2 linked regions of the Caenorhabditis elegans genome follow. The protein of the gene in region 1 interacts with the protein of each later gene in a biochemical or structural test. Each region holds a gene or a part of one and is shown in the gene's direction. Other genes may lie near its edges. The genes, in order: flp-5 and egl-6.

What was found.
Region 2: the proteins of flp-5 (region 1) and egl-6 interact in a test that uses a peptide from one of them, tested with the Caenorhabditis elegans proteins (one large-scale study listed by BioGRID).

What each region holds. Positions count from the first base shown.
Region 1 is NC_003284.9:8,519,865-8,536,392, forward strand, and holds flp-5 (GAKFIRF-amide), read left to right. Parts: upstream 1-8,456; 5' UTR 8,457-8,457; coding exon 8,458-8,537; intron 8,538-10,167; coding exon 10,168-10,291; intron 10,292-10,901; coding exon 10,902-10,976; 3' UTR 10,977-11,169; downstream 11,170-16,528. Other genes in the region: C03G5.14 (Serpentine Receptor, class BC (Class B-like)), read left to right, coding at 2,050-2,172, 2,579-2,753, 2,904-3,037; nspc-1 (Nematode Specific Peptide family, group C), read right to left, coding at 14,863-15,165, 15,212-15,214; nspc-2 (Nematode Specific Peptide family, group C), read left to right, coding at 15,605-15,607, 15,653-15,955. UniProt on the Caenorhabditis elegans protein: FMRFamides and FMRFamide-like peptides are neuropeptides. GAKFIRF-amide has an excitatory effect on dissected pharyngeal myogenic muscle system.
Region 2 is NC_003284.9:5,925,628-5,941,437, forward strand, and holds egl-6 (G-protein coupled receptors family 1 profile domain-containing protein), read left to right. Parts: upstream 1-6,958; 5' UTR 6,959-7,140; coding exon 7,141-7,319; intron 7,320-7,371; coding exon 7,372-7,485; intron 7,486-7,532; coding exon 7,533-7,609; intron 7,610-7,660; coding exon 7,661-7,827; intron 7,828-7,878; coding exon 7,879-8,214; intron 8,215-8,316; coding exon 8,317-8,539; intron 8,540-8,648; coding exon 8,649-8,740; 3' UTR 8,741-8,905; downstream 8,906-15,810. Other genes in the region: C46F4.3 (EB domain-containing protein), read left to right, coding at 10,150-10,225, 10,439-10,591, 10,933-11,100, 11,858-11,922; acs-17 (long-chain-fatty-acid--CoA ligase), read right to left, coding at 12,333-12,484, 12,775-13,047, 13,108-13,877, 14,080-14,227, 14,469-14,726, 14,786-14,870, 14,919-15,099.

The sequences.
Region 1 (16,528 bases):
CACAGGTGTGCCCTTTAATAATTTGTTAAGAGAACAAAAAAGTATAAAAAATGATTCATTACCAGTATCATATTTTGTGAGTTTATCGGAATTCGCAAACTTTGAGATGCTTGCCAACTCCTCTGATGAAACTTTTTTGTATTATTTGAGTCAGTTTACGTAAGCACATATGTAGTATGGTTAGTGTGCAGTTTTCCCAACTGGCAATACTGTCACTACAGCGCAAGATTTTTTCGAGCTAATTTTTTTTGATTGAATGATTTTAAACAATTAAAAACATCTGTAATAATACCGAAAAACATTAAAGTAGAGAAAAGAATCTACGAAACAGATAAAAATGTAGTAATACTAGGGCAAAGGCACAGATTTGGCCCGCTAAGTCTCATTAATTGAATTGTCTAGGGACTCGGGACTCAGGCTCCGAATCCCAAAATTTTCCCAAACAAAGCTCACAGTGGGATCGCTCGAAACTAGACGCTAACAATTGATTTCATCAGACAAATGACATTTCGGAAAATGGAACAAACACGACGCAAAAAAAAAACTAACATCCTTTTATTTGTGTCAATTCCAATAGATATGAGTCGGAATATTCTCAGAGCAAAATAACTACAAATAGAACAATAGATGTGTCTTGGTCTAGTTTTCAAATGCAAAGACATGACTCATTTTGTCGTAGAAATACACGGAAAAAAATCAGCCACCATGGTCACATTTTACGAGGCCATTTATTTGGAGAAGGGCACCATATCGGATTACACGAAAAATCATGAATCGGTTTTTTTTTGGTAGACTTTGTGCAAACCAGAATTGAATTAATAAATTAAACTCAACCATTATGATTAAATCACCGGATCATTTTAAAAAAACGTTCGTCAAAACCTACAAAGTTTAATTCTAAAAACCACGCAGGTACTTTCGCAAACTGGAATGTTTTCTCAGTGGAATGTGTGCAATTTTATAGCTTAATGAAATTATAAGGATGTTTCATTCTGTATGTGAAATGTGTTCTTTCGCATTAAAAAGACGATTAAAAAAATGCTAAGGAGCTGTGCGGAGTGAGAGAGGGTTTTTCGTAGTCAGAATTGGTGTAGGCCACCAATTAATTGAACGTCCAACGAAATAGTTCTCAAAGTCTGAAAATATAAATCACAAACAAATAGTATTTAAAAACCTACATTTAAAAAAACAAAAAAAAATTCTAAAATTTAATTGCACAGTTGGATTGTTTTTTCTTCAAATTTTATTTTATTACAATCTATTGTGTTTTTTGGAGTTAGCTTTTCAACAAGTCATTAAGTACAAGTAATAACGCTTAATATTTTCACTAGAAATGATTTTGTCAATCTTTTTTTCAATGCGTCGATTCATATTTGCATTCCAGAAACTAAGTATGTTTCAGATAGTTCAGCGCTTTGATATTACTTCCACCACGGGCATAAGAAAGTTGTTTCTTCTTTCAGTTACTTTTTGTGCATTCCAATTTCCGGCCAACCGATCTACTGCATGCCCCATTTCGGAAGCAGTGCTCATTAATTTCTTTAGGAGCAGAGGGTACGGACAGCTTTTCTTCATTTCTTGAAAAGGTTTCAGAACCTCATCTTTTCATATTCACACCAGCTTTTGTGGTGGTCTTAACCTTTACACTCTTGAATCTGATATTTGAAGTTGTAGTATTTCTGAAAAATCAAAAAAAAAACTATATAATGTTTTTACAATACTTGAGTTTGTAATGCTCAGACAATGTTTTTTTAGAAATAAAAAATTGACAAAATAAAGTATTGTTGAAAATTTTTTAATAGTTAGTAACGTCGACATCGTCTCAGGTGGCATCAGCATTTATATACAACTTTTGTTTTTCAATTATTTTATAATCTTGTTTTTACCATATTTTCCGATGACACATTTTTTAGAATTTCAAGCTAAAAATACCAGGTAAAATAAATTCATGTAATAAATTGCTGCTACACTCTGTTTTATTTCTGGTTATTTTGCACTTGATTATTAGATTTTTCAATAAAAAGTTAACAAACAAACTTTTACAGTGCAATGCCTAAGAAAACTATTCATATGATCTCAACCAAGAAATTTCACCCACTGGCGTTGACACTGATTATCTACACAATCTCGGATCTCGTTTATTCGTTTACAATGGGAATATCAGCATTTACCGTAATTTTAATGTGTTCTAGTTTTTTTTCTGTAGAGTTTCAGCAAGAAGATGTGTCATTTAAGAATTGTTTTGTAAAAACGTAAAACAAAATTTTAAAAGCACTCATATTGTATTCCTTGGTCTCACCACGATATTGAGCACATTGATTACTAATATACACTAATTTGATGGATGCAACAGATTTTGCGCAGTTTTTTTTGCAACACATACTCTAAAAGTGTTTAAAAACTCCAAAATTTACTCCAAAAGTGTTTAAAAATTTGCAAACTATTTCCACCATTACTTGTATCGTCAGCTAAAGAACATTCATTAATTTCTAATTTTATGAATAATATTACTCGAAAGTCTGAAACTGCAAGCTTACTTCAAGTTCTGATTCTGAAATATTCAAGCCAACTGTTTTAGGCATTCGGTGTCTGGTCAAACTTTTACTATCCACTCCTCCACTCGGGAATCGTCTCGTTTTCAGTCCTCTCTGTATATTTTATTGCATACAGTAACATCAAACTTGCCCTTGCTCTTCATGGCTTGATAAAAATATTTATTTTTTCTTGGACAATGCATACTCTGTGCAATCTAGGTATGTCCGTTTTAGAGTTTGATATATAAAGCGTTCTCAGTTTGCTATCAGAATAAATGTATTTGATGAATCCAGATTGATGAATATTTTTGATGAATAGTTAAATTTAATAGATATTCAGTTGTTAAAAATGTTGTCTTTTCGTTGCAGATTTGTATCAAATCAAAGAGCAGGACACGGTTGTTGCTTCAATCTACTATGTGCTAACGTTTATTTTCGAAATGACAGCATTCTTTGTTATTAACAAAATGAATATCCCTTTCTTTTCGGTAATTTTATGGTAGTTTACCGAGTAGAGACATTCAAATTTTAGGAGGACAATTTTCTGGATCACGTGGGAATGGATAATGATAACCAGGTAATGGTCACATTGTGTTGATGTAAAAGAACAAGAAAATACAAAAAAGAAAGCAAGATCTTTTAATCAAAGTCCAAGATTTGTTTCTTCATGAAATCTGTGGAAGTTGTTGGTTAAAGTACAACCCAGACCACGAGGGACTTGAGTTATCTCGTCATTTAATTTTGTTTGATTTTCCGGTAGTTATGTATGTAAACATCAGAATATTCCATTTGTCTGTAGCTCATAATGATGCTGATAATAAATTTGTTATGCACTAATGACGAAAGCTAATGATTATTTTATCGTCTATTATTTTTCGCATCTTTCAACTTCCTGGTATCTTGTTTTCTAAAATTATATTTTCATATTTTCTCGTTGCTGCCAAAAGTCCTGAAAACTAGCAGTTACCGCGATTGCTGCCAGAAATGAGAAATTTCAAAAAATGAAGTTCCTAAAGTTAAAGTTGCAGAAAATAAAGAGTTTTACTTTTTGAAGAATTTGGAGCGCGTGTATTTTGTGGAAATATGTACTTCAGACCTCAAAAAGTTAATATTTTCTTTAAACTTACTAGAGAAACAAAACAACTTAAACGTTTATGGATTGTTCAGAACAAGAGCTAGAGACTAATCCAAGATTGTAGGAAAGGTAATGAGAACATCTGGACTTTCAGTGATTTCATTTTTTTGTCAAAGGTTACAGAGGACAGCAATGATCCCCGAATAATCCTAATCTCAATTGTTCTTTTGAGATTTTTGTTACATGTTCTACTGCGAAGATAATGTATACGTAAGTACCAAAAATTTGTAATTTTGTCTCTTTTCTGAAAGCTGCCATTGTATCGACTTTGATCTGAAACCTGACCCCATTTCATCATAGAAAATGGGCTCAAATGCCAACTGAGGAAATATCTAACCAATTCAATATAGACATCAATAGAGTCAAAGCAAATTGTTTCAAAATCCCGGATGTGTATGATTGACACAATAATCAAATCCATAGCATGGTGGAAACAATTTTGCAGACAACTAAAGTTTAGTTTCAAAAAGATTACAAGTGACGTGACAAACAGTGCTAAATTAACCTAATATAAAACAAATATCTTATAATGTTATAAATCAAAACTCGTTCAATTTTTACCTTGTTCTGTTATGAAATGTCATGTTTTTTGTGCAGGCTTGTGCCATTCCACAATACTCTAACAGAAGACTGAAACTGTTTTGCTTTTGAACTTGAAGTGTTTTTAGCGTTTTCTGATGTGTTTGGTCAATTTAGCACAGTATGAAAAGTTTGAGCAATTTCGGAACCTGATGATTTGTTATCTTCTATGATTTGACATTAAAAACAACTTTCTTTAGAATTTTCTCAACTTTATTCATAACCATTCCATTTTCATGTTTCTTTCAAGCCTTTTTAATTCAATGAATAAATTAAGTTATTACCTGGACACCTCAGTGCTATTTTTTCATTAAGATTTTGACATGTATTCGATTAAAATATGATTCCAAAAACTATAATTCGACACATTTTCACAATAGAGAAACAATGTGCATAAAAATTAGTTTTAGATATGCTAATTTCAGATAGAAAGCTGCAATCCGCGCGGTTAAAGTTGCTCAAACAAAATTTTTCAATCTGTCAATTTCGATTTAAACCTAAAACAGTTGAAAGAGTATAGAATTTGAAAAAAAATAATCCTAATGATAAAGTACAACAAACCAATTCAAGTTAGTAGGAAAAACTGTTTGAACCGAATGTTGCCCATTTTATGTTATTTATGTATGTAAACCAGACAAAACTGGGTACATTTCGGAAAAAGGCAGTTGCAAAATTGTATTTGTATATAAAAACAGTGATGACGTTATTTTTGTTCCTAACTTTTCAACTTGTAGCAAATATCGTAGTATCACGAAAGAAGGTATCAGAAAAAGATCAGTTTGATAGTAACTTGAGAAGTCTCGTTATATTCGACATTTTAAAGCCAGTTCAAATTTATTCAGACAAACTTCCGATACGTTAATTTTTTAGGCCGAATTTGTCGCCGATCTGTTACAAATATATATTTTACAGAGTTGTTTATTGACTGAACAATTAGGCCAGCAGTAAATTATTTTTCGGCCAATTCGTAAACTGCCAATATAATACTTTTTAATGATAGTTCTAGATATCAAGTTTTCCAGTTCCTTTTTTAATATCTGAAACCGACATAAATCGCGTAACTTCCTAAATAAAATCATCAACAAAGAAGTTACATATGTCTCGCCGTTCAATTAACTGTTATTCACATATTATCCATGTTCCAACTTATTGAGTTTGTGTTTCTATCTGAGAGGAGAAACGATATCAAAGATTATTGGAAAAATACGCATTTTTCAGCTGTTCTCTTTCTGAGGGTGGTTGGTTTTTGAGGTCATTGTTTTGAAAATGAGAACTCATGAGACATCAGCTAGCACTTTCAATTGGAATTTGGGGAGACGGATTACCCTTTTGTCTTAATTGATCAAAAGTGACAACATTGAAAACGTGAAAATCAGAATCTTTGATCTTTGTTTTCCAGATCTTACAGATGAGCTTTGACTTTATTTCGACATAAAGGTTTTTGTTTATTAATAAACAAACTATAGAGGAATTGACTTAAATTTTGAAATATCGTGTTACCACTTTTAAATGTGTACGTTTTGCAACCTTATTGTCATCCAATTTTTCCTTTACACATTTATATGCAGCTTATACACTTGTGTGTTGCTTCCTCCCACATCCTAAAAACGGCGCTGGGGGGTGATTAGATTTCAACAAAACGTCAGAACCCTCTGCATTCGCCCCCACTTGAAAAGTTCAAACAACAGGAAACGTTTCATCGTCATTCGCAGCGCCTTCTGAATTTTAAAATGCAAATGTTCGCCCTCTCCTCTGCGAAATTATTAAAAACTTCACCCATTTGTCTTAGGATTTTTTTTGATTGGCAAAGAGTTTGTGCTTCAATCTGAAATACAGAGAAATGTGTGATTACGTAAATTCTCGATTGACATTCAAATAATATCACCTGCATTTCCAGAGTGGAGTATTGAGATCTGAACATTTTCTCGTGTGAAATTGGATTCAAATATCTGAACTTTTGTTTGAAATATCAACTAGAAGCATCAACTCTTCAGATAGTGTTTCAAAAAAAGGGATGTATTGTGTTACAAGACATTTTCTTTCCGGTGGCATTTTTTGCTGAATCAACTCCTTTGATCTGAGGAACACAGATGAATCAAGTAACTTGACCATTTTGCAGCAAACTGATATTTGAGAGCTTGGTGAAGACAATAGTAAATGGTTTTTCTACTACGTTGATTTAATTTGCTCCATGTGAATGTTATTTTGATGAAGTTAGAGTGACAATAGCTTCAATAGGTTTCACTTTATTGCAAATTTCTATGCACAAATATTTGCAGGAAACTTCAATCTTCGGATTTTGACTGAAAGTTTCAGATGTAAAAAAATCTAAAAACTACTAAATTATTACAATAAAAACTTGTTAATTTTAAGCGATTTCCATCTCAAATCTCTGCACCTGTCAATGTAAAAAAGAAACACTTCAATCTAAAATTGATACAAAATCTCCGGAATATGTTTTTTAATAGGAAATGAAAAAACCATTGATTTCCGCAGATTTCGGGAAGTGATGACATTTATCTGTGTAATATGACCATTGAAATGTGGGTGTACCAAATTTGTAAACTTTGATGACAGTATAAATAAAGATCGTGAACACAATAAAACAACTCTTGGAAAGTAATATTGAACACAAAAAGTACAGATGATATGGCCAATTGGTACACTTCTGCATTATTTTAGTACTCTTAATCAAGACTGAAAGAGGGTAACAAAAATTGGTTCTGTTGTGTTTTAGTATTGAATAAACCTTTTTGAAAACAAACTTCTTTAAGAAAATGAAACATGATCTTAAAATTCACACATGTCGTAAAGAAAGTCATCGAGCAAAAGTTCAAATACAAAGTTCGCGTAAAAATTCAATATGCTGAAAATTCTAGGCTTTACGGTTTGTTTGCTCGCCCGTAGACTTTTTCATTCCCGTAGCTTCCAGTTTTAATTAAAACTTTTTTGTGGGCCAAAACGGACACGTCATGTCAGGCCCCGCCGTTTCCTCCTCCGACATGTCAAATCGGTCATTCAACACTGACATTTTGCAGTTTTCGGAGAATCTCCCATTTACTACGGAGAACGCGCCGCCTAGAAACAGAATAGTTCAGTTTTTTAACTTTAGTTTAGTTGTTTTTTTTTGTGGTATCTAAGAAAAAAGAAGCAATGTGGGCTTGAAACGGGTGGATCTGAAATGAATCTTGCAATTGATATTGTTTCTTGTGTATATTATGGAAAACGGAAATGAGAATTCGGCAAGTGAACACAATACAAAACTCTCATTTTGAAGTAAAACCGGTACATGAGCACTTTTATCGGTTCGTGGAAATTATGAATTGGTACATAAACAAAATTTATAGTTGATCGTCGGAGTGTTTTTTGGGAATAGCGTTACATCGATTTGCAAGTTTTCTAAAAACCAAAGTTGATGCTCTATGACGTACTAAAACAATCACTAGAAGTCTATTTGAAATTTGAAAGGTTTCTGATTAATTTTTTGTTCTGATTTTCGTATTATTATTTTTCTCCCAATTGATAGTGACCCTGGTTCGAAAACAAATAATCCTACTCTATTATTTGTTTTCAATCAGCTTTTCGGCTTCTGACTCCATTTCTATTATCAAACTCTGGGTTAAGTCGTTAGTTTTCCGGTACCCCTTCTATTCCCCCAGAGGCTTACTAGATCGTTTACTTTTCAATCTCCACGGGGTTAAATGGGAAACATAGAGGGCATTCCGTTTTGCAAAAAGAGCTTGTTAAAGTTGAAGTCTGGAAGGAAGTACCTAAAAGTACCTAAAAAAGCTTTTGGGTCGTGTGACGAATTGCGCAGAGAATTCAGAAATCTGCTGGAGGATTCTTTTTATATTTTTGATCGCCAATATAGACGAGCTAATTCATCAAATTATGTCATGCAACTTTGACGCAAGTTATCAAAAGCATATTGCTATTTTCTGTTGTAGTAGACATGTTGATATCTTCATTTCTCCAATTATCTTCTCTTCCTACTATAATAACAACTCTTTTAGATAAAGTCTCTTCCCAAAAATAACAACTACAGTTTCAATTTACTCCTTATTTCCCATCATCTCTAGTTCAGCTCCCAACCGCTCCACATAATAGTAGAGATGGGGCGGAGCCAGTTGGCAAGCCATGCGCAGCGTCCCCGCCTTTCAGCTTCCACGACAGCACCCGCCTTTTACGAAACAGTCATTCCTCGCAACTATGAGCAGCCGAAGCACCACGATTGCTTTCCTCTTCATCGCCACCCTTCTTGTCTTCCAATGTGTTTCCGCTCAATCAAGGTAGGTTAATTTGATGTCTAGGGTTCAGGTGCTGTGATGAGCCAATTGTTAAACCCCAACTGATCAAAACTGGCCATTTGTTCTTGATTGTGATCATTGCTTCGGCTATTGAGACTATCATGGACTTCCTAAAAAGAAAAGGCGCTAGGACTTAAAGTAAAATTATTAAAAGGATTTTAAAAAAGGCTGACATAAATTACCAACTCAGACAGAAAAAAAAACACAAAAAACCAAAACTCTAACGGTGCGTGAAGGTCTAGATTGAAACAACAACGGAACCTATTAAAGTCGTAGGTACAAGCAAATTATCTTTTTCAGAAAAACTAAATACTAATACAGAAATAGTTTCAATATCCAAATTAAATCATCGTTGTACAGCTAATTGCTCAAAAGTGACGCATTTTTCATCATGCACTTTATTTCATCATCATTTTCGTAATTTTCTAATTATACAAAGATGCAATGGCGTGATTAACACACATACTAGATTCTGTTCGTTTTCTTCGGCATTTCACTTTACTACTAGCATCTTGTGCGCTTCCTACGAACTTATACCCCGGTCTCCTCCCTTTTTTTCATTCTCATGAGCATCGTAATGTGACGTGAGTTTATTCTTTTTGGGGGATCCCATCTTGTCTGTTGGACTCTTGGTGTCGGATGAAGCGGAAATATCAATCAGCCATTCAAATTCAATTGCGAGTACTAGGAGGCGCGCTTTTTGCTTATTCGCTTTGCATTCGATGCTTCCGGTGAGATGCACTTTGACCCATTCTTTCCATACTATTGTTTAAAAAATTGGAACAACTTTGTTGGGAGGCCAGAGTCTTCAGCAAGGAAAAAATAGAGATGACGTTATAAACAAAGAATGGAAGTGTTCAATGACAATATCTTTTTGAAATTACTTTTCGAAATACTCAGATTTTTAAACTGTTTGTTTTGTTTTAAAGCTTGGAATTTCCCATTCAGAACATTGAATTCCAAGCATTGAAAACAAAAACAAAAGTATGTCAAACAATAAAATAGTTGAGGACTAGTCTCTAACCTAATAGAAAAGCGAGGGTGGAATTCATAAAATTAGCTTCTTTGACCTTCAATGTAACACAAATTAGCATTCCGTTCTCGATTTATCCCGCTTCTTTAATATCAGGCAACTTTGAAACTTCCCTGTTTCATTCTTAGAAAGTCACTGGAGGGATCAGAGCACTCACAAAACATGTCTCCTTCAAAAAGTTGCCACCACTTTTTTGCTCTAGTCGTTCAATACAATTGGTAAATGAAGCGTTTAATTTTGCACTTGGCGTGCTAACATGACGCATGTGCTCATTGAGTTTGGAAAAGTAAAGTAGTTGGTTAAGCGACAAAAAGGAAAATGTGGTAACCTTCTTATCTTTTCATTTTTCAATTATTTTTGAACAATTATATGCAGAAATGTAGGTCGTGGTGAACCGAAACACAATATTAAAAATATGATAAATGGTGGTAATTAAAATAGACACATTTTCAATATTGACGTGTGAAATACGTAAGAAAAAAGACAGGAAAGGTTCTATGACATTTTAAAAAAATAAAACAACGGTCTCTTTGTTCACAAATATGGACTTTTCAATCTAATAACACCGAATATTTTCAGTGCCGAAGACGCGGACTACCTTGAAAAATACCAAAGAATAGCACGAGCACCAAAGCCAAAATTCATCCGATTCGGTCGTGCAGGAGCCAAGTTTATCAGATTTGGGCGATCAAGGAACACTTGGGTTAGTATTTCAAGAAAATAATTTTTTCAGTGAATCACTGCATAAGTCGAAAACCAAGGTTCTGAAAAGCTTGTTTCCTTGTGTTTGTTGTACACATAGCTTAAGCTGCTACCATTGTAGAAAATCCTATTCGACCCCCTTATTACGTATGCAAATTATATTCTGAAAATCTTGATTTTTATCTGTTTTGATATTTGCTGAGTCTAGAGATTTTTTTGTAATGCTGGGGAGCACCTTAAAAAAATTGTTCTAGTCGTATATGAACATTTACAAATTTCGACTAATAAGTATATGATGAGACTAATAAAGGATAAACGATGCCTGTCATTTCCAGCGAAGACGGAATACTTTTAAGTCACAAGAAAAACGTCAGAATTTCATGAAAGATCGACGTGACTGAGTACACACTGCATTACAAGCTATTAGCTTTCTGAAATATTAAAAACCCCGCTCCCCCACTATCTTTACAAACGGAATACATATATGAAAATATCACGCTAAAAAGCACTATGTCATATGCCAACACATGGATATGAGTAATGACGCATCCGAAACGTCAACTTCTCATGTATACTAACCATTATGCCATCATCATTTATTGAATTTTCAGGAAGATGGATACGCCTCACCATCGGTCAACGAGCTCTACGTTAAACGTGGAGCCAAATTCATCCGATTCGGCTAATTAGGAACAATCAACTCGTGTCGAATCACTGCTCCTACGTTGTCTAACTGCATAGTGTTTCTTAAAAAGTCCCCACCTGAAATATACCCTTTCACTCATTTATTTGTCCTCCTATTTTTTTCGAACTGTTGTGCGAACTGATATTCTTTGTGTTTTCCATTTCGACGCCTTCTCAAATGAAAAACGTTGCGTTAAATTATTATGTTTCAAAATTTTTGAATAACAAGTATCCATAATCCATGATCTTAAAAAAACAATAAGAAACACGTAAACAATTCATTATAAAATATGGACTTAATTAGACGTCTCACCTAAATATGTTTCCAAAAATTGTGTGCGTTCTTTTTTTTAATCGAAATATTAACTAAATACTGCAATCTAGTCAATCAAATGACATGTCAATGTTTGAATGTGGTTTGAAATTTTATGCCAAGGAATCAACACAATTGAACAATCATTTCATTTTGTATTACTATTGCATGTGTCAAAAATACTTAAAAACTTATTTTTGTTTAAATCTCCATACACATATCTAATCTTCAAAACTTACGATCATCCCAATTTGGTTTTTAGAAAGTGGTGGCAGTATAGATGTTATTTGAAATGTTTTTTCGTTTACTAATTTTTTTTGGCTTTGGTAGCCTTGAGTTCTACAGAAAATTGAAAAGTTGGTTAGAACAGAGGTTTCAAAAATAATTTATTTTCGAATTTTGGTTACAGCTAGCACCTCCCTGTCTTCTATTACGGTTTCACACTTTGAGTTCAATAGTTCTGTTTCTTTAAAAAATAACTTTTTTTGAGCTCAGAAATTCAGAACTTCTTATAAACAAAACAATGACGATTATGGAAGAAGGATAGGGAAGTGGTGACAAACGTGCCCGTCTAAATTTTAAAACACCCTCTCAGGACACTAGACAATAGAATTGATGAGATGTGCTTAGACACTTATCCGCGTCTTTGAGCAAAGATGACATGTATTTTTATGAGGGAATGTAGGATGCCTTACAATTATTATTAAGTCTTCAGCGTTACACGCCTGGAACGATCGAACAACACATAACTTGTATTTATTTTCGCAGCGACTATGCTATTCCCGGAGAAGTCTTTTAATTCTATTCCGTGAAAACTGAAAAATAACGGTTGATATTCTCTCTCATAGGCAGAGAGCTTCCATGAACTTGTCATTTTCAATGCATGAACCTTACGATTTGCTATTTTAATCCAAAATTTAGGTACCCCACGCAGCTCAGTTTCAACCCATTGAGATTGACACGTCACAAGACATGGCAGTTTATTTGGTATCTCGGAGTGCTTGTGTTAGAAAGGGCACCTCATGAGTAGGCGGAAAGATTTGGAACGCACTCATGTAAAGAATTTAAAAATCACGCACAGCGTAAAAAATTTAATCAAGATTTTAGGTGACGTTGACTGCGACCAGTCATGCAGAAACTTCATCAACTCTTTCAGACCTAAAAACATAAACGGACACAAAAAAGTCGTTTGATTTGTGGGTGATAACTAACTATTTTAACTATTCAATCAGTGGACACATTGAGAATAATACTGGAAATAAATTAGAGAGTGACAAATATTTTATGGCCACGTGAAGGTGGGTAAAACACAAAGATGCTGGGATATGATATCATGACTAGGCTTGCAGTCTTGCAGTCATACAACAAGTGGGAGTAATAATAATTTGATTTATTTGGGAACACTCATCAACTCTTGTAAAATTGAGATAAATAAAACAAAACCAGAAATAAATATTGAAGCAAAAAAAAAACACTAATAGGAAATTTCAAATATCATATATTATATAAAATGTTTCAATTTGTTGAACATTTCAAAACTGTACATCTAACAACTCAATAATACGCACGAATAGTAAGAGTACATTGCGACAAACGCCCATTTTTTTATAATTTGGAGAACTGTAAAACGCGTATGAGGCTAGAAGCTCTCGTAAATTTGGAGCAATTTCTGGAGATCATTGCAAAACTATGATATTCACGCTGATCAATGCACAATAGTTCATCTTACAAATTAGGTGTTTTGCTTGGAAATACAATTTATCAGGTATTGATGATATTTCATTACTGAATTGGTTTGGTGGATTGGACTCATCAAAATGTAATATGTTTAAAATTGTTTTTTCTTTGAAACAGAAAAAAGAAAAATGAATATATTTATTTTTTTTAACCTTTTTGAGAAAAAACATGGAAAAGGTCAAATTCTCTTATTTTCTACTGAAATGACCACAAAATAATTGTAGAAAATTTGTTTTGGAAAATTTCTTGTAAATGGTGGATCCTTTTTTACCTTTCGGGGTTTGGTGGACTGCCAATTTTGATCAAAATGTGTTTTTCCTTCCAGTTTTTAGTTTAGATCGTGCTCAAAACATTTATGTTCCGACAGTTTTTTGACAAGTGGCGCAAATTCAGTTTTCCCCTCATTTTGACTCAAACAAAATTATTATTTTATTTGGTCATTCTAGCATCATAAGAATAGTTTTCAATCACTTTCCCACTGGTCGTATTCCACCTTTAATTTACTTTTCGTGATATTAGTTTTCCGGATTTTAAACACTTTAAAAAGATTGCTGCAAGCGAATAGTTTATATTATAACTATAACTAATTATTATCATATATATTATAACTGGCTGTACACATTTTTTCGAAGTTTACGCGTTTTTATTTGGTGTTTGAAGTTTTCGTAAATTTATGGCAAACAAATAAATCTGTCAAATCTCAAAGTGCTTTTGCTTTTCACTTTATACATAATTTTTACCAACTTCAAAGTGACAACTTGTAATCAAAAAATCTGGCGAAACTTTCATTTCAATTTCTGTTCGAGGAAACAAGCAGAAACGACTAATTCCAACTTGAACATTTCCGTTTTTATAGAAATTTGGACGAATCCACAAACTTTATCTATCTTCGTCAACTACTGGAACGCGAAAAAAAACATTTATTTCATCAAAAGAATTATCATCGATTAAAAATATGCAGACTTCTATGCGCTATGTTTTGCAATTTTTATGCCAAGTTATGCGAATGCGAAATTTTTTCAGAAAATTCTGCCTATTCTAAATCGGGTGTTTTTTTCAGGACGGGGTGTATTTTTGGGACGCAGCGGATAGGGAACGACCCACTATGTTTGCACAGAAAGTACGTCATTTCTACTCTGCTCCCATTTCCAACTTGTGCTGTTTAAGTCCATTCTTCCATAACATGAGGTGACATTTCAAAAAGTCGGCGTCATTGCCGAAAAAGTAGTAATGGAAGTGCTTTTTTTGTCCATTTCAAATCACCAGAAAGGTTGCTCAACTTGACACAAACTGACAGAAATTGTAGCTTCCAAAAGTGAAAATGGAATAACAAATATACAAGATTCAAATTTAAATTTAATAAAAAACAACGAGTCGCTTAACAAATAAATAGTTTTTGCAAATAAATGCATTAGTATATGCCTTGCATTAAAAAATTTTGTCATTGGTCACAATAAAACATTTCCAGAAATGTTACTCCATCCTGTACAACTTTATATATTAAAACTTTTAGTATTTTTTGAAAGATTGAATGCCTCAATTTTTCAACAAAAAAACTTTGAGCAACCTTCTGCCTCTCTTTTCAATTAATCTGGTAGTTTGGAAATCCATTTGCATTGTTCAATGGATTTTGAAAAAGACAATATTTTATTGAATAAATCAGTTTAAACCATCAAAAATTTACAATAAACCAGATTTGTAAATTATAGATGTGATATAATGACCGGTAATCTCAGTCCCTTATTTCCTGGCATATTCCGAAATATTATAAAGAGAGATGGTTGTTTTGTATAAGATTTTATTAAATATGTGCCACAACTGAAGAAACGGATACATTTTTAAAGATTATTGTAGAGTTTGTTGCAACCACTTCTCTTGAATTCTTGAGTCTTCGCTGGTGTGGTTTTCAAGCAGCATCTGAAGTCAGGGTCGGTAGTGCAGGAACCATCGTAGACAGCAGCACAGTTATGAACACAGAGATTATAGCAAGTCTTGTTGGTATGAGTGGCAAAACTGATCCATGGAGAGCAGTATGCGTAGGATTCACCACCATTGACACCAGCACAGAATTCTTGACAGAGTTGCAAGGTGATGGAGCTGATGGCAGACACAAGGCAAAGTGCGACGAGGATGCGAAGGAACTGAAAGAGTATTTAATTATTGCATTCAAAGCAGAAAAAAACGTACCATGTTGAGGTATCAGTTGAATGCTGATGTTCTCCCAGCACTGCCAAAAGATTTTATAAATTTTGTTTCACAGTAGGAGTCAATTTTATTAAACTAGATGAAATCGTTCATGAACAGCACAGTAGGGAATCCAGACTCCAATTAAAATGTTCCAATATGTTGCGAGTTATTGAACGACAAACAAAAAAGTTCATGAACAAACTGTCAGCTTGTCTATTATTTAGACTTTTTTTGTTAAGTCATCCTACGCCCCAAAACTCGAAATCTAACAATTCTATTCACATACATCAGCTACCAAAATTTCTAATACTTATTGGATCCAGCTCAGAGAATTCGACTATAAATAATGTCCAGGAGATTCATAACTCATCAGCATTCAACTGATACATCAACATGGTAAGTCTTTTTTGCTTTGAATGCAATAATTAAATACTCTTTCAGTTCCTTCGCATCCTCGTCGCACTTTGCCTTGTTTCTGCTATCAGTACCATTACCTTGGAACTCTGTCAAGAATTCTGTGCTGGTGTCAACGGTGGTGAATCTTACGCATACTGCTCTCCATGGATCAGTTTCGCCACTCAAACCAACAAGACTTGCTATAATCTCTGTGTTCATAACTGTGCTGCTGTCTATGATGGTTCCTGCACTACCGACCCTGACTTCAGATGCTGCTTGAAAACCACTCCAGCTAAGACTCAAGAATTCAAGACTAGTGGCTGCAACAAGCTTTATAATAATCTGTAAGAAAAACCATTTGTCATCTTGATATATCATAATAAAACATTGCATCGGAAACATTATTCTTGAATGCTTATAAAAATTATTATTCAGTTGTTCTTGAAGTAGTAGTAGTGAATGTAATCTCATATAGTGTCAAACATAGTGACCGTAATTCCAGTATTAGTTGGATCCAATAAATATTAGGAATATTGGTTGACTGGTATTCATAAAAGCGCAGTAGAGAACAGTTATAATTAAAAAATCTGAACAATGACTTGTTGCGTGGGTGCTAACTTTACTGTAGTTATTTTCAAAAAAATTAAATTGTTTGAAACAAGTTAGTATATTGATATATTACTTCACAAGTTGTCTTCAGAATAAAAATAAAAATTTTCAATTACCGATATTAAATATGTATGTATCTAAAATATTTATTTATTTACATCAGAATTTGAGACGCTTGATGTTGTTTCAAAAACTAGATTTCACGAAATAATAAAATATAGTAGTAGTTTTGTAAAATATTATAAAAAAAATAATTTATTCCACTTATCGTTATAGTTTTGGTTCTATCTATCTTGCGATCCAGTAATATTA
Region 2 (15,810 bases), 2.6 Mb from region 1:
TCTGAACAATTATTGTCTTCTCAGCTTATTATTAAAACATTAGAGTTCAGATTAAATGTGTGCAAACAGTCATGAATGAAAGCCGAATGACCGGAAATGGGCCAGTTTAGATGCATTGTGGCCGAGTCAATCGGTTCACTTAGTTCATTGTACTTGAGCAGACATGTTATTAGAAGGTACAAAGTAAAATCTATCAAAATACATTACACTTTTCATATTGAATGTCGTAAAATACAATTGTAAATATTTATATTTTATATGGTTTGTTTTTCATTTCTTCTTAGATCTTGTTATTTTTGAAGATTTCTCAGAATTTAAGATATTCTAGTTAAAGGTGAAGTATCGTCACAGGGAATTTTTTCAAACTAGTCGTATATTGCTTAAATGACCGAATATCTCGGTAAAATTTTAAAAAACAAATAGAAATTTTGAAATATTTTTCATGAGCAGTGAAAAGGCGGTGAAAATTATCATACTTTTGGAACTATGACAATTTTTTTCTACAATTATTTATTTTGCAGCAAACTCGAATTTTCAACTAGTCTTTATTTTTGTAATACTTAACATTTATCAAAACTTTGACAGAAAAATGTTCAAAATTAAAAAAAAAACTTTGTATTTTGAAAGAGTTTCACTATTACTATTCGCCATGTTAGACTAGTATAGGAGTATATAAGCCAGCTCCTCACTGTCAAGTACAATTTTACTTTTTTCTAAAAGTTTTGATCTTTCAAAATTTTCTGTCTTTTTGTGACTAGTCTCGTGATTCCAGAGATCTCAGAAAAATTCATAGCCTTTTTCGGAATCTCTTTTTTATCAGAAATCAAACGAAACCGAGCAATTTTTTTTCAAGAATAAATAATGTTAATCTGTTCGAATTTAGTAAATTCACAATGCTTGATAATCCATCCCAACAGACCATGAATTGACAATTTCATAGTTTAGTCAAAAATGAAACTCGCTTCTTCAGTCTAAATGTCATAAACTTTTGCAATTATTACATCATGATCAATTATACCCCTTCAACTTTTATGCAATGCACGTACCCCAAGCACTAAATATTGATATTTTTAACCACCATGAAGTGTTCTTACCATTCTAATAATAATAACCTATTCTCCGTCATCAAATACTAAACAACACTCTGCAAAATATAAAAAATATTATTAACTCAAAATGTGTGATCAGTTGAGTTTTTTCTGTTCCTCTCCGCGAATGGATTCAAATTGAATTTTATTTATTCCAGTAAAAATGTAATTTTCATGAGCGGTTGGTGTTTTTAATGTTTTTCTTTTTTTTTTTCCCAACTCACATTACAAGCATTTTTTTCAGACAATGACACCCATCACAAAAAAAGTTGCGGATCAAATTTTGTTGTGTTTGTCTGAGATTTTACCACTGAGATTTTTCCTGTTTTCTATCTTCTTTGCGAGCTGACATATGTCAGGTTTCTGCGGTTTATTTTTACAGAAAAAACATCCAGTAACTTTCACGTGTGATATTTTTCAAAATCTGATTCGCTAGCCCACGCTGAACTTTACATAATAATTGAACTTTAACTTACATTTTCTAGAAATACGGCAGGTGAAAACTACTTTTTTCGAATTTTCACGGGGGTTTAAGGAATTTTGAAAACTTGTTCAAGCTTCAAATGTTAAGTTTTCACCTGTTATTTGTTTCTTTTACAATTCTTCTGTAAATTTTATATTATATGTTTAGTCATAAACGCTAGCACTTCTCCCAACATTTCCAGAGAGAACAGAGTCCTTATAATTTTAATGACTATGCATAATAATGGAGGAAAGATGCTGATGCATTCTGGAAAATACTGTCTTTTGCTTCATGATTATCACTATTTTCAAATGAACATTTCATGGATATTCTCCTTCCAAAAAACCGGAAGAAAACACTTGAAAATCAAATTTTTCTTTGAACCCTTTGATCAACATTTCATCCTTTTTTGTTTGAAACAAAATTTCAACAAAAAATGCAAAAATCTAGAGGTCTGTCTTCAACTCAAAAACACTACTTGAAAATAAGACGAACGACGATTTTCGTTTTTTTTTTGCGTTGTTAGATTTCTCAACAATATTTTGCTCATTTCTTTATCCCGAAATGAAAATTTCTGATCTTATGCATTATGAATATGTTTTTAGCTGCACGATTCATCTTTCCGCAATTTTTTTGGTGGTGCGGAAACAACAAATCTCAATTTTCATTTATATTTTTCCGTTAGAACATCTTCTCGAACATTTCACCGGAATCTCAGTTAGGAATTGTTTGATGAATCAGATTGTTTGGCTTTTCCATGTAAAAATAAAGTGGCGTCATGTGCCTATTAGTGGCTACAAACGACTTAGGAATTTGAAATGTTTCATTCACAATTTTGTTGCTTTGTCAAATTTCAAAACATTTTAATTTTTCGGCAAATTTCAAATATTTCTACAGCTTCTATCACCAAAGTTTTTTTTAAATACGTGAAAAAATTAATATTTGCAACAAAAACTTTTTATAATTTGAGAAAGAGGTTATTTTTCCGTTGAGAAGATTTGAAAAAGTAGAAAATTTTCAAAAATTAATTTTTTCTTTTATGTATATTAAAATTTGCGGTACTTATTAAGATGTTATGTCAACTTCGAAAAAAAACTGGTTGTTTGCAACGAAACCTCTAGAAAAATTTTTGAAAGACTTTTTTTTCAGAATCTCCAGTCGAGGTTTAGCAAGAACTAGCCCTGTGGTGTGGGGTCGCCCCAATTTTTTTGGGTCGGCCGGGTCGGGCGATCGCAGCCCCGACCCATATTTTGGGTCGGGGTCGCGTCCCCGACCCATGTTTTTCAAAATTGAGAACAATTGTCAAAAACTTATACATTTATTTTTTGTCGAAAAACACGTGTAAAAGCTGAAAATTATGCGGGTCGACCCATCTCGACCTACCTAACAGGCCTATCAAGAACTCATGTTTTCACAAATGTACTGCGATGTTTGGGTTATTTTAGCCAAAAAAGATTTAAGAAATTTTTCTCTATGATAGTTGCTAACTCTTATTCCCTTTAGACTTTAACTCGGCTCTTCATCGTCAACAATTTTGCAAAATTGTGGTTTTTGTTGTTCATTTTTCAAGCTTATAATTGAGTTCAAAGAATGAAGTTGATAATCGAAAATTTTTAAAGGGATTATGTTACGTGTTTTATTCCCCTAGTGGTGCGTTCCTTCCATGAAAACTTTCCTTCCAGGAATTTCGTTTTCAAAATTTTTTGTTTTGTGATTTTATTGAGAAAGAACTCATCTCTATTGTCTAGACTTTTGAGCACGGTATCGAGTAATAATGCAAAACTTCTGAATCATTCTGATTTTGTTCTGTTTTACAAGAATGTTTTAGAAGACAAGAATCACATCCCCGGGTTTGACACAATCCCTAAAGTATCCCGAAATATGTAGTCGGCTCCTGAAAACAATAACAATTTAGTAGACGTATATTAGATAGAATCCATCAGACATCGTACCCACATCATGGGTACACAAATTTTATTGTTTTGGTTTTCAAAAGAAAATATAAATACTTAAATCAAAGGTCTTTGCGTCGCTTTGTAAATTTCTAATTTGGAAAGAGTTTCAGTTCCGTGTGAGACCGAAAGGTTTCAAGTTAGAGCTACTACTTTCTATTCCCATTCCATTAATTCCTCTCCTACTCAATTCTCACGCATTTTAATTGATGTTCACACTTTCATTAAATTTTGTTTTAAAAAATTCGATCAAGTACATTTTTCTTTCCGAATTTCGATTCTAATGATGTTCTGACTTTTCAACTGGCAACTGAAAGAAACACAACTCCGCAGTAATCCATCGGACACATTTGTCTTTGTTTATGATTGCTTTTCACTCCCATCTTGTCATTTCAATGCTATATTAATTGTTTTGAAAGACAGTAGCAGAAAACAACAAATTGCAATTTCAAACGTTTTAAAAATCAATTTTTCGCTGTAAAGTTTTTTTTTTTTTCATTTTTATTTTCTGCGAAAATAATAGTTTTCTATTGGATTACTCAGTGAAAATATCTGATTTCTGGAACCTCTTAAAGCTGGCAACATAGAAAGCTGAAATAAAGAAGAATAGATATCCAATCGTATTCTATGCTATTATTGTATTATTTTATGCGTCACCATCGAAGAATTATTTTTTTCCCAAAGTTAACTTTTTCGCTGATTCTTTTTTATTTGTTACTGAAACCGTTTTTAAGACTTCAGACTTTATTTTGTGATTTTTTTGAAACAGTCGTTAATATCTATCTAGCGTTAAGGCTTCTCTTTTGTTTGTGGGTTTTTGTTCTGCCTAAATGTTTGATTAAAAAGACTTGAAACGGTCAAATTAAATAATGAAACTTCTAAAAAAGATTTTCAAAAATTTTAAAAGCAGGTTAACTTTTCGGAAAAAAATCAGCTGAATTGAGCTACCACTTTAATTTTTGCCATCTTTTCAGTTTCACAAATTAGTTTTCGTTCAACTATCACACTTTTTTGCATTATTTGACAGGTTTTTTTTGAGGTTAATGTCGTTTTCTTGTCGTTTTGCTCACAACAATTTTTGCGAAACTTACAAAAAGTGTTTGATTGAATAATTAGGTATTTGTTTGTTACATTATCATTAACTGTTTTGAAATTTTACTTTGAAAGTTTCAGCTCCTGTTGATAAAAATGGTTATATCCAACTCAAAAATTCAACTCAAAAAGTCTTGCAATTTATTCCTCCACAAAAATGGAAAATTTTATACTATGACGATTGAAAAATACTTTTAAATTCATAGACTCTCAACTGACCGCTGGATTTTTCGTTTGAAAATATTGAAGATGTAAGATTTCCATTGATGATCAAAAATTCAGAGTGCAAAAGAGCAAAGTAGCGGAGATTTAAAACGTCGCCTCGAGTTCGAAATGTGATTTGAAACAAACACTAAAATGTTCATCCCTCGTCCATTGTTTTCCTTGATATATTATTCTACTTGTCACTTACAAATAGACAGATCAGTGTCCGGGTTTGTCTTTTGTCTTGAAAATAGCATGAAAGAAAACATTAATTTAATTATTCAGTCAACCTTCCTTCATTTTGTAGGAGAATGACGGTGTACCGGATTCGAAAATTATTTATCTCAAGCTGCGTTCGTGTCTTTTTCAATTTTCTTTTTTTCTTTCTGCAACAATAAATTTGTCAGAATGTACTGCGAAAACCTTATATGACGGTAGACCGTGCCAGGGGAATATAAGTTCCCGAGACTAGACATTAATCATTTCTACGTACTGTTCTTGAATTTTGAACTCATTTAAGGTATGGAACTTTCTATACTCCAGAAATCTTTATATAATGCTCATGATTTAATAATTTATATAACGTCAAAAGGTTTTTCCTGATCTTTTTTCTGTTGCCTTCACCTCCGTTTCCTCACGTTTTCTTGTTCTTCTCCCTGCATAACTTTGAAAACAACACAGGTCTTTTGTTGCAGATGGAGAACATCATAGAACACAATGACAGCTTTTCAGCAATGAATGACACACTGATCTGTACATACTTCGAATGCTATATCCACATGTTTGCCATGGTGAGTTCAAAGCATTAAAATCTCGGGAGGTGGTTTTGATGACGCGTTGGAAATTTGGAAAAATTGCAAATTTGTGATAGAAGCCATAGGATCATTGTTTCAATTTTGATATTTGCCAAAGAACAGTTTAGGAAAAATTAATTGTTATCACTAATCGGAGAGCAAAATGTCTCAAGATATGAGATTAGATGTGTTGAAGCAACATTCTATTTTGAATATTCAAGAACATTGAACGTTTTTAAAGCACTTATAAACACTATTAATAGTAAAGTAACATCAGTGAAGAGGGGGGGGGGTTTGAATTTACAATCATGATAGTCTGACATGAACAAATATCATTGTGAAACACTCCAAACATTCTTAGATTTTTCAAAATATTCAGTAAAAGTTGTGGTGAATTACCAAGTTATCAAAAAGCATGGACGTTTTTTTTAAGCAACCTCAAAAGTTTGAACCCTTGAAATTTCAAATTGTATAATAGGACAAAAGTCACTGTCTAGACAAATTTACATCGAAAATATAATTTTCACTTGGTTTAAACACTTATGTGAAACTATCAAAGTTGGAGTATCATCAGTGGGAATATTATTTAATCACATTCATAATAGTCAAATATAATCGTGCAACACTTCAAAAATGCTCCGATTTTTCAAAAAATTTCAATCAAAGTTTTGGTAAATTGTCAAGTTTTCTAAAAGTTTGGACTGTTTGAGAAATTTCAAGCAACTCCGAATGTAAATTTTGGAAAATTTTGTCAAATTGGACTCGAAAAGTTTGCTATTATGATTTATTGTAGGGTACTCATGGGTTTTGTTACCCTCAAAATGTTTTAATTTTCTAAGTTACAATTAACCACAAAAACGTGAACTTTTTTGGAACGATTTGGAGAAACGAATGCTTTGTTCCGTACTTTTGTTTTTGTTTTTAATTTGAAAGGTGGAAAATTTAATTTTAGAAAATTAAAACATTTTGGGGGAACAAAACCTATCAGGACCTAATGTAGCGGCATATGAACAGTTTCAAACATTTTCCCCATTTTCGGAGTAGTGTCCCATTCCTCAAATGACCTAAATAATTCTGCAATTCTGCACGTGTACTTTGGGTGTTAGTTGCGTACGAGACTCTATTGGGAGCCGATCGTAAACCCGTTTTACGGCCTCACACTGCGAGTTAGTCTTTCAGAGACTCATCTATGTGTTTCTGACTGGGCACCAGTGAATCAGTATGGTGTCATTTGGGGGGACACGCGATGCACACAACTTGAAAAATAATTAGCTGATAGACAGGGGCACGCGCTACACAGTGGGCGGAACTTCCAACACTGATTTCACTAGATTTCCCCTTTCCCTCCCACTCCGTTTTGACTGGAACGAATATTTATTTTGTCGTCCAATTTTTCCTGCTATCTCGTTGTTAGAGATTGTCGCTGGGATAATCCGGTTGTGAATGGACGTTTGAAGCTTTTCCAGCATTTTGAACCGGAATCTTTTTTGCTTTCCCATATTTGCTTCCCTATTCGGGCTCGTTCCGAAACGTGAAAGAGTGAAAAAATGGGGAAATGGACGGAACTCGGATTGTCGGGTCGTGAAAATGCAACAAATGTCTCGTCGCGAGCCATAACTGACAAGTCCTTTTTGCAGTACTACGATGAAATTCATATTCCTCTTTCAATTTCTATCTGTATATTCGGAGCCGCTTCAAACGTCTTCAATATTATTGTGCTCACAAGGTAAGTTATATATTTCTTTATTTTTTACGGATGAATGTACCTGTTATTCCAGAAAACGGATGCGAACCCCAATAAACATCCTGCTCACAGGTCTCTCCATTGCACAATGGCTCCTAGCGACCAATTACTTCCTTTACTTATTGCTTGAGTATTATAGATATCAATGGTACGTCATGCATCAAATAAAAAAAACAATGTTCCAGTTTTTTGCAGTGTTCAATTATTATGGTCCGAAGCATTTACAAGATATAGATTCTTCAATGTCAACCTGAATACAGTATTTCATACAAGTAAGTATTTTTAGATTGGCAAGCATATTACTGTACTCAAATACTTTTCAGTTGCATTCACAACGACGATCGTTGTCGCAGTGTTTCGGTATTGTGCACTGAAGTTTCCAATTCAAGCGAATAGATTCATCTATAAATGCCAGCCAGCAATCGCAGCAAACGTTATCATTTGGATCATCATTCCTATCATCAGTCTTCCATTGTTTTTCATATCCGAGGTTTGTGTAGTTAATCTTCATATCTCGAATCTGATTTCATCTATGTTTCAGGTTAAAATTGTCGCTCGTGACCACGTTGCTTATGATTTGCAATGCGAAATGGAAGGTCCATTGTACGACCTCAGTTATCAAGAGAGTCCACTTCTCGTGTCCGCAGTTTTCTGGGCATTTGGTATTGTGTTCAAACTACTTCCGTCGTTAATTCTCTCAATACTACTCATTGCTCTTATAAGATCTTTGAAAAGCGTAGAACGAAGGCGTAAAAACTGGAAGCGTACACAAGGTGCCAACATTTGCACCAACTCCGAGAGAAAAGCAAAAAGAAAGTTGACGACCAGACCGCGCACAACACGAATGCTCGTCATCATTCTACTCCTATGTGTAATGGTTAGTCACTATTTAATGTCTGATCGTATGTGATTGCTGTATTGTTACGATTATTTATATTATTTTGTCTATGATTACCATGAAACGTATGTCTGATTCCAGGTAGAACTACCCATGGGTATTCTTAACTTGTGCGTGGCTATCTACGGTGAAGAGTTCGGAAATCGGTATTACGATCCAGTGGGAAATCTGATGGAAATGCTGACGCTGTTGTACAGCTCTGTTAGCTTCGTTCTCTATTGCACCATGTCCAATGAGTATCTCTCCACGTTCCGAGCACTATTCTTCCCATGGACCAGAAAGAATAGTTTAAGAGGAACTCGAAGTGAGTACTTTCAAACAAAATTGTAGGATGAATCATCTACTTGAGATAACTACATTTTACTCACAATTTTTTCTGACTAAAAAGTTCAATTCAAAATACAATTTTTCAGGAAGTTGGAATCATCGACATGACGACGAAACAAAGTCCCCACGAACTTTTCTGATAAATAGAACTGCGCCAAGCTCATATGTCGGGTCTTAATCTCCTTTGCGTAGTTATTCAATTCAACTATAATTCTTGATTTTTGTATTTATCCCGTTGTGAACTTCAATTCGTCTGAAAAATTTGAAAGTCACAAGTTTGAAAATGTGATTCTTGTTTATCTTGAAATCTTCCGAGAATGAATAAAACTTGTATTGTTTTACTAATATAGTGTGTTTTCTCTATTTGAACAGCTTTTAAAAGTTGGAAAACTGAAGTTTCAAAGTTAAAAATCAAAGTTATGAAAAAATAAGTGTTCAATGATTTTGTCTAATTGACTTTTTTTAAAGCAATTTTCTTTAGAATTTAAAAGTTTTCTAAAACCTTAAATATAATTTTTCAGCATACTTGTTAATTTTTTTAAATTCTAAATAGAAAAAATAGCATATTTATCTGCTACACTAACAAATTGAATCGCTTCTTAATCTATCAAAACAATAAAAATTGCAGTATTTTGAAGCGTTTGGTTTTTTTTTGTTGCAAAAAGTCTCAAGTGTTCATATCTTGACAGACAGTCTTAGCGGAATTTTTAAACGGAAAGAATAATATTTTCTGAACACCTTCAAAAGTATTCTCCTGTCAGTGAAGTTAATACGTAGACGTATAGCGATAAGAAGTTTTTGGGGTCACTTACGTAGACAATGAGTTACTACATCCCGGAATGCTTTTTTATGGGGTTATTCAAGTAGTGTCGAAAAATTAAAAAGGATAGAGAAATGACGTGACAACTGTATTAAAATTTTTCTCTGCTTCTAAACTTTCCGACACTACTTGAATAACCCAATTAATTGAAAAAATAATGGTAAATATTTTTCAGCCACTGAATTGATACGAGTTACAGTAACTCGTTATCCACATAACCAATGAAAAAAAGAATGTAATATGAACTTTTTCATACAATTCTTTGAGTTTAGCAAAAAGTGCACAGTAAAATTTCGAACGACAACTAGGATTTCAGATGGGGGTTTCAGATGTAAATTCCCCCGTAAAAAAATTTGACTCACATCAGTGTGGCTGGGTCTGAAGATAATTTGCACTGTTTTCTAGTTAGAGTAAACATGAAACAAATACTAATGAAACCAAAAAAAAAATACAATTCTTGCGGCTACTTCTTTTTTGAAGCCTGAAACTTCCCTGACTTTTTTGTGGAAAAAATATTCTAGAACGTTCTACAACAAAAATATAACAATCTATAAAGCCAACTGATTGAACTTTTGTTTTTTGTTTCATTGTCAAAACTTCAGGGCTCATCCTAATTTGGGCTGATTAAACTGACAAGAAAAAAGAAAAAAGAGCAAATGGAAAAACAAACACGAATGACAGTTGACTGGGGGAGGCAAAGAAACGAATTGCAAACATTCGGGTATCTTCACACATTCCGATTTGTTCCATTGTTTTATCTTTTTTAGATGATGCTTCCAACTTATCAATTCCTAATCTTACTTTCCGTTTCTGCAAAACAAGTGTATGGCGTTGAAGGTAAACGTAAGTTTTGAATGATTTCTGAATTTATAAATGTGGTCGAGAACACATATGTTTTGCTCTCGGTTATGATATCTGGTGAACATGGTCTCCGAAGAGTCTATACAAGTACTCATATACAAACCAAAAAAACAAGAAAACTTAACGTTTTCCGGTAAATGCTTTTTTTTCGTTCCAACAATTTCCAAAGTTTTATTTTTTATATTATGTTTTCAGTTGGAATTCCTGGAACTGAGTGCCTGTTCGGAGGAATATGCTCGGGTGGATCTATTTGCATTGATATTTTGTGTTTATGCGTGGATGGGGAAAGAGAATTTGACGGACAATGTGTGGATCAATCAGTTTATGATTCAAAAGTTAAAGAATCTGGTATGAGCTTACTAGTTTGGAAAAATGATTAATCTGAAGAAAGAGTAGTGCATGTGAAAGTGTTATTGAAATACTAAGAATAAGATACTTATATTCCTATGCAAACAATTACAATAAAGAAACAACAGGAAATTCTGGTTAAATTTGAAAAAAGCAGCTGAAAATTAGAGAAATGGAGTTTGAATTAAAGTCTTTAATACTGTATGTTTTGTTATTAACCCTAGCTTCCTCTGTGTACTTCAAAACTTTAAGTTTTATATATTTCATTTTCTATATTAAATAAACGAATAATTAAAATTTGGCACCTGTAGTCCCTCTAAAACTGAGCAGTGTCTTTTCAGAATCCCTGCACGATGACAAGCCTGAAAATCTGCCAGCAATTGGTTTAGCAGGTCATCCGTGCGGTCAAGGAGGAGTCTGCAGACCGTCGACAAAGTGCATTGAAGGCACCTGTAAATGTAGACAGGGTTATAATCCGTCTTTCGGGGAGTGTATTCGGAATTTGAATGGTGAGATTTGGGTTGTTTCTGGAAGAGTAATGAAAGAGACAGCGAAAATGAATTGTGCTCAGTTGTTCTCTGGCGAATAGATTTAAAATGATAAATGGTATTTTCTATCAGTATTGCATTCGAAAATGTTTTTTTAAATATAAGTATTGCACATCTTTTAGCCTTTCTTCCCGTTCAGTAATGCAAGTGTTTTCTCAACAATTTTAGCTTTTTTTACTTTCTATGACAGCTTACAAAAACCAAATCGATTTCGCAACTTTTGTGCAAATTCAAATTTCAATTAGTGAAAATCAGTAAAATGAAGCTCTGTAACATGATTTTTCGCCTATTCAGTTCGGTAACCAAACTAAGCTGTTTTTTTCAGTTGTAAAACCAACTTTTCGATAAAAAATATTACAGAAACAAAAAAAAAAAATGGTTGATTTGAAAATATGACTTATTTGTGTGGAAAAATTTAACCCAACCTGAAAAAATGCCTCAAAGTGACAAGTTGCCAAACAGAACTGTCGCACAAAGACAATTTTGCATTTCGTGAACTAGTTGAAAAAAAAAGTAAATGTAAATATCTCATATTGCTTAATAATTTTTAATAACCGTGAGATCCTTCATTTTCTGAACTTTGCTTTCAAAATCGAGGTTCCGCCAAATAAATTCTATAAATAAAAGATGAATGAGCTTGCAATTAGAATTACACAAAATCGCATTTATCCAAACAAAGCTTGTACGAAAACATCCATGCTTTTTCTTCTATTTTCAGTTCTTCGTCACATTCCACGTGCATTCATTCCAAATCATAGGTCGATTCTTCGATTTCCATCTTAAACAATGTATTTTTTTGAAAGAAGTTTATTTGCATTGAATCAATAAAATGAATGAGATAATGATAATAGGAGGTCGAGAACGTTATACACAAATTAAATTTTGAAAAGAACAAAAAAAAACAAACAAGAGCAGATTTCTTTCCATTAAAAGCGTGGAAATCAGAATACCCTAAAACATATGGCCACCGCGTCGATTTGTGATTCGGTAAAAAGGATTTGATTCTTGGAAAATAAGAGTGATAAAAATATTTAAACTGCGAAATGAAGGCACACAATGAGCAAGATTTCTGTGAAAGAGAAATGAAAGGAGAATATTGTACATTCTATACTAGACTACATCAAAACAGATTAAGTATTTAGAATGCGTTTTGAATGGCAGAAACAGGGTAAGATCAGTGAGTAGATGAAGCTCTATTTATAAAGCTCATCAAGTTCTTTGCGGAAGGCCTTCTCGATATTTTTTCTTTTGAGCTTCAAGGCTTCGGTAAGAAGCCCGGAGGCTGGGGTCCATGGCTCGTGACAAATAAAGATTTTTTGTGGAATTTCGACGCGTTGAAGTTTGGCTGAAAATATTGATTTTTATTTTGGAGAAATTCGTGAATCTTTGGCATTTTAAAAGTGGAATAGGGCCAATGGGAAATAATTAAAATTCATTCAAAATTTTTCAAAAATATTGGAAATTTTTTTATGTTGTCAGAAATTGATGAAAATTTAGTTTACTCTCAAAATAACTCGAAAATGTTCTTTGAAAAATTTTATTATGATTCCTGATCATCTCAGCATCATAGGAATGATTTTTAAAAATTTTCCCACTGGTCATAATCCTTCTTTAAAAAATTCCGTTAAAACTTACAAGCTCCATATTGAGCCAACTCCTTTTGCAATGCCTCTACAACCTTCTTATCTTCGCAGAGCTTCTCAAAGTTATCATTGCTTGCACCAGCTTTACTGGCCAATTGAGTTAGATTCTTTTGATTTGGAACGACCAACGCAACCAGGAAGCTTTTGTTCGAATCACCATACACGCAGACGTTGTCAACATTTGGATTAGTCAAAAGATTAGTTTCAACTTTTCCGAGGGAAATATATTCACCGTGAGCCAATTTGAGCAAGTCCTTCTTACGGTCTGAAGGTCAAATTGAATATGTTTTAATTTTAAAAAAGTTGAATGTTTTAGAAAACTTACCAATAATCTTGAGAGATCCATCTTCGCGGAATTCACCAATATCTCCAGTTGCGAAGAATGTTTTTCCATTGACTTTAACAAACTCTTCCTTGGTTTTTTCGTCATTTTTGAAATATCCCAACGCAACATTTGGTCCACTAATAAGAATTTCTCCTTGTGGAGGATCATTTTTCGGTGAGTATCCAGCCTCTGCCCATTCTTGCAACAGAATTTCGCAACATGTGAGCGGTGGTCCCACAGTTCCAGTTGACAAATCATGAATGTCGGCAATAGTTCCTCCTCCGCAGGTTTCAGTGAGCCCGTATCCTTGTACAACTGGACAGCAGAAGCAAATGTTCATGAATCTTTGTGTTTCTGGGCTCAATGGAGCTCCTCCAGAAAGAATTTGTCGAACTTTTCCTCCAAGAAGTTTACCGATTCTATTGAAAACAAGCTTGTTCAAAATAAAACTAGTATATCCTTCTTCATAACGGGACCGTTTTCTTTCGTAACAAGTTTTGAAGAGTTGCTTGAAAAGTTCACTGTTAGCGTTAACCTCATCGATGACAGCTTTGAAGATGCGATCCATGACAGCAGGGACACAAGCCATAAGAGTTGGCTGAAGAACCCAGCAGTCTCCGTGCTCTCCTTTCATAATTTTTGGTGCTCTGTCAAATAAGGTCTGAGCTGATGAGTAACCAATGCGGACTCCTTTAGTGAAAACGACCATTTCTGCGCATACTTCCAAAATGTGAGCAAGAGGGAGATATCCGATATATCGGTCATCTGGTCTGAAAACAAAACCCAATTAACTAATTTTAGTTTCAGTCGGTAGTGGTGGTAGCTAAAAATCTAGAGGTCACGATTTCACGCCCTGCTCCCCTCCTAGCCCTAACCAACGTCCACAGCTCGGAAGTAACATAAACTAAAGCCAAATGGGAGCACGTCCAGGAATAGTCTACCTAACTTCTATTTTACACCATAACAAATTACCCGAGAACGATGTTGAAGGCTTGTCCAGCGGTAACAGCAACAATATTCTGATGAGAAATCATAACTCCTTTCGGATTTCCAGTAGTTCCAGATGTGTACATGATGAAGGCGAGATCATCTTTCTTACTGCGAGTTGGTACTGGGTAAGCTGAAAATTAGAAATTATTTTTAATTTAATTTGGTTTATTTTGGTAAAAGTTTATAATAAGTCTTGCAGTTCAAACCCGGGTTGTTAGACTGAAGACACTCTACTATGTAGTGATGATTCTAGTTGAAAAACATAGGACATTGGGGAAACAGTAGGTAACGTAGAATAAGTCGGGGCTAGAAGAGATTGCAGGCGGTTATTACTGAAACTTTAACAAACAAAACACCCCCAAGCAACATACAATACTCACGCTCTCCGCGGCTGAGAAGCTGGTCAAAAGAAAGAAGGGTGAATGGAAGATCAACATCGACCGACTCTCCACGAGATGCTGGATCGACACTATCAAAGAAGATAATGTTTTCGATGGATGTGGCTCCGTTGCTCATCGCCTTTTTGACTTTCGAGATGAGAGCTTCCGAAGTGAAGATGGTCTTGGCTCCAACTTCATTAATAGCAAACTGAACTGCTTCGTCTCCAAGAGTAGCATACATTGTTGCAACTGAAAGTTTATTTAATTTTAAGAAATATTATAAGAAAAGGTATAAAATTTGTTTTTACTTGGAAAATTCATTTTCATGCAGGCCAAAGCAGTTGTCATCCATTCTTCTCTGGTCTCGGCAAAAAGAATAATTGGCTCCTTCTCCTATAAAAACTTATAACTGTTAAAGCAAAGCTTCAATTTAAGAAATACCTGCTGCCCTAGGCTCGTCAAACCCGATGCAATCATATTAACCCGTTTGTCAACCTGAGCATAGCTTCTCCAGTGATAGTCTCCCATTTGCCATTTTTCAAAGATTTTTCCGTTTGATTGTTTCTCCTTGTGGACTTTAAGAACTTCACGAGTCCCCATACACGGTTGGTTTCCGTAACGTCTAAAGTCAAGAAAAGTTTAAGTTGACTGTTTGGAAAGTGGAGATATTGGTAGTTCGAAAAGGTTCGAATATATTTGACGAAACTCACAATGAGAGTTGTCACAAAAATCTGGAATAATTTGATAGTGGTTCTAGTCATTGAACTTTTATCTTTCAAATCCAGTTAAACATGTGCATTTCTTTTTAACAAACATACCGTGCGTTCAACTTTTATAGAACTCTCTTGCAATATGGAACTTTGTATCTTCTAGAAAATTTTAATAGCAAGTGTTGAAAAACCTATGCTCCCCAATTCTTATGAAGGTATCTCAAAAATTGCGAAAATTAAGTCACAATATTAAAAAAAAAGCCCGTTCAACTTCTATATCACCCATCGGTTTTTAACTGTTTTTGAAAAAATATCAAACCCCTCAACTAGAGGAGGTTCTATAGAAGTTGGACGCACTGTAGAGCGTCAGAACATATGCTCTAGTCAAAATTGAAAAAAAAACATCTAATCAAAAAAGCGTCAATGTTCAATAATTATTCTAAAACTACAAAACTATTAGCTCATTTGTCTGCTTTTTTAGTATTGCAGACACATGTACCAATCAAAAATATCTTCTACATGCAATATTCTTTTCAACTATCAAATATTGCATGTTTTAATGTTTTGCTGACTAACAAAACATAAACGTTACACAATGTTCAAACTTTTTGATCAAGATCACA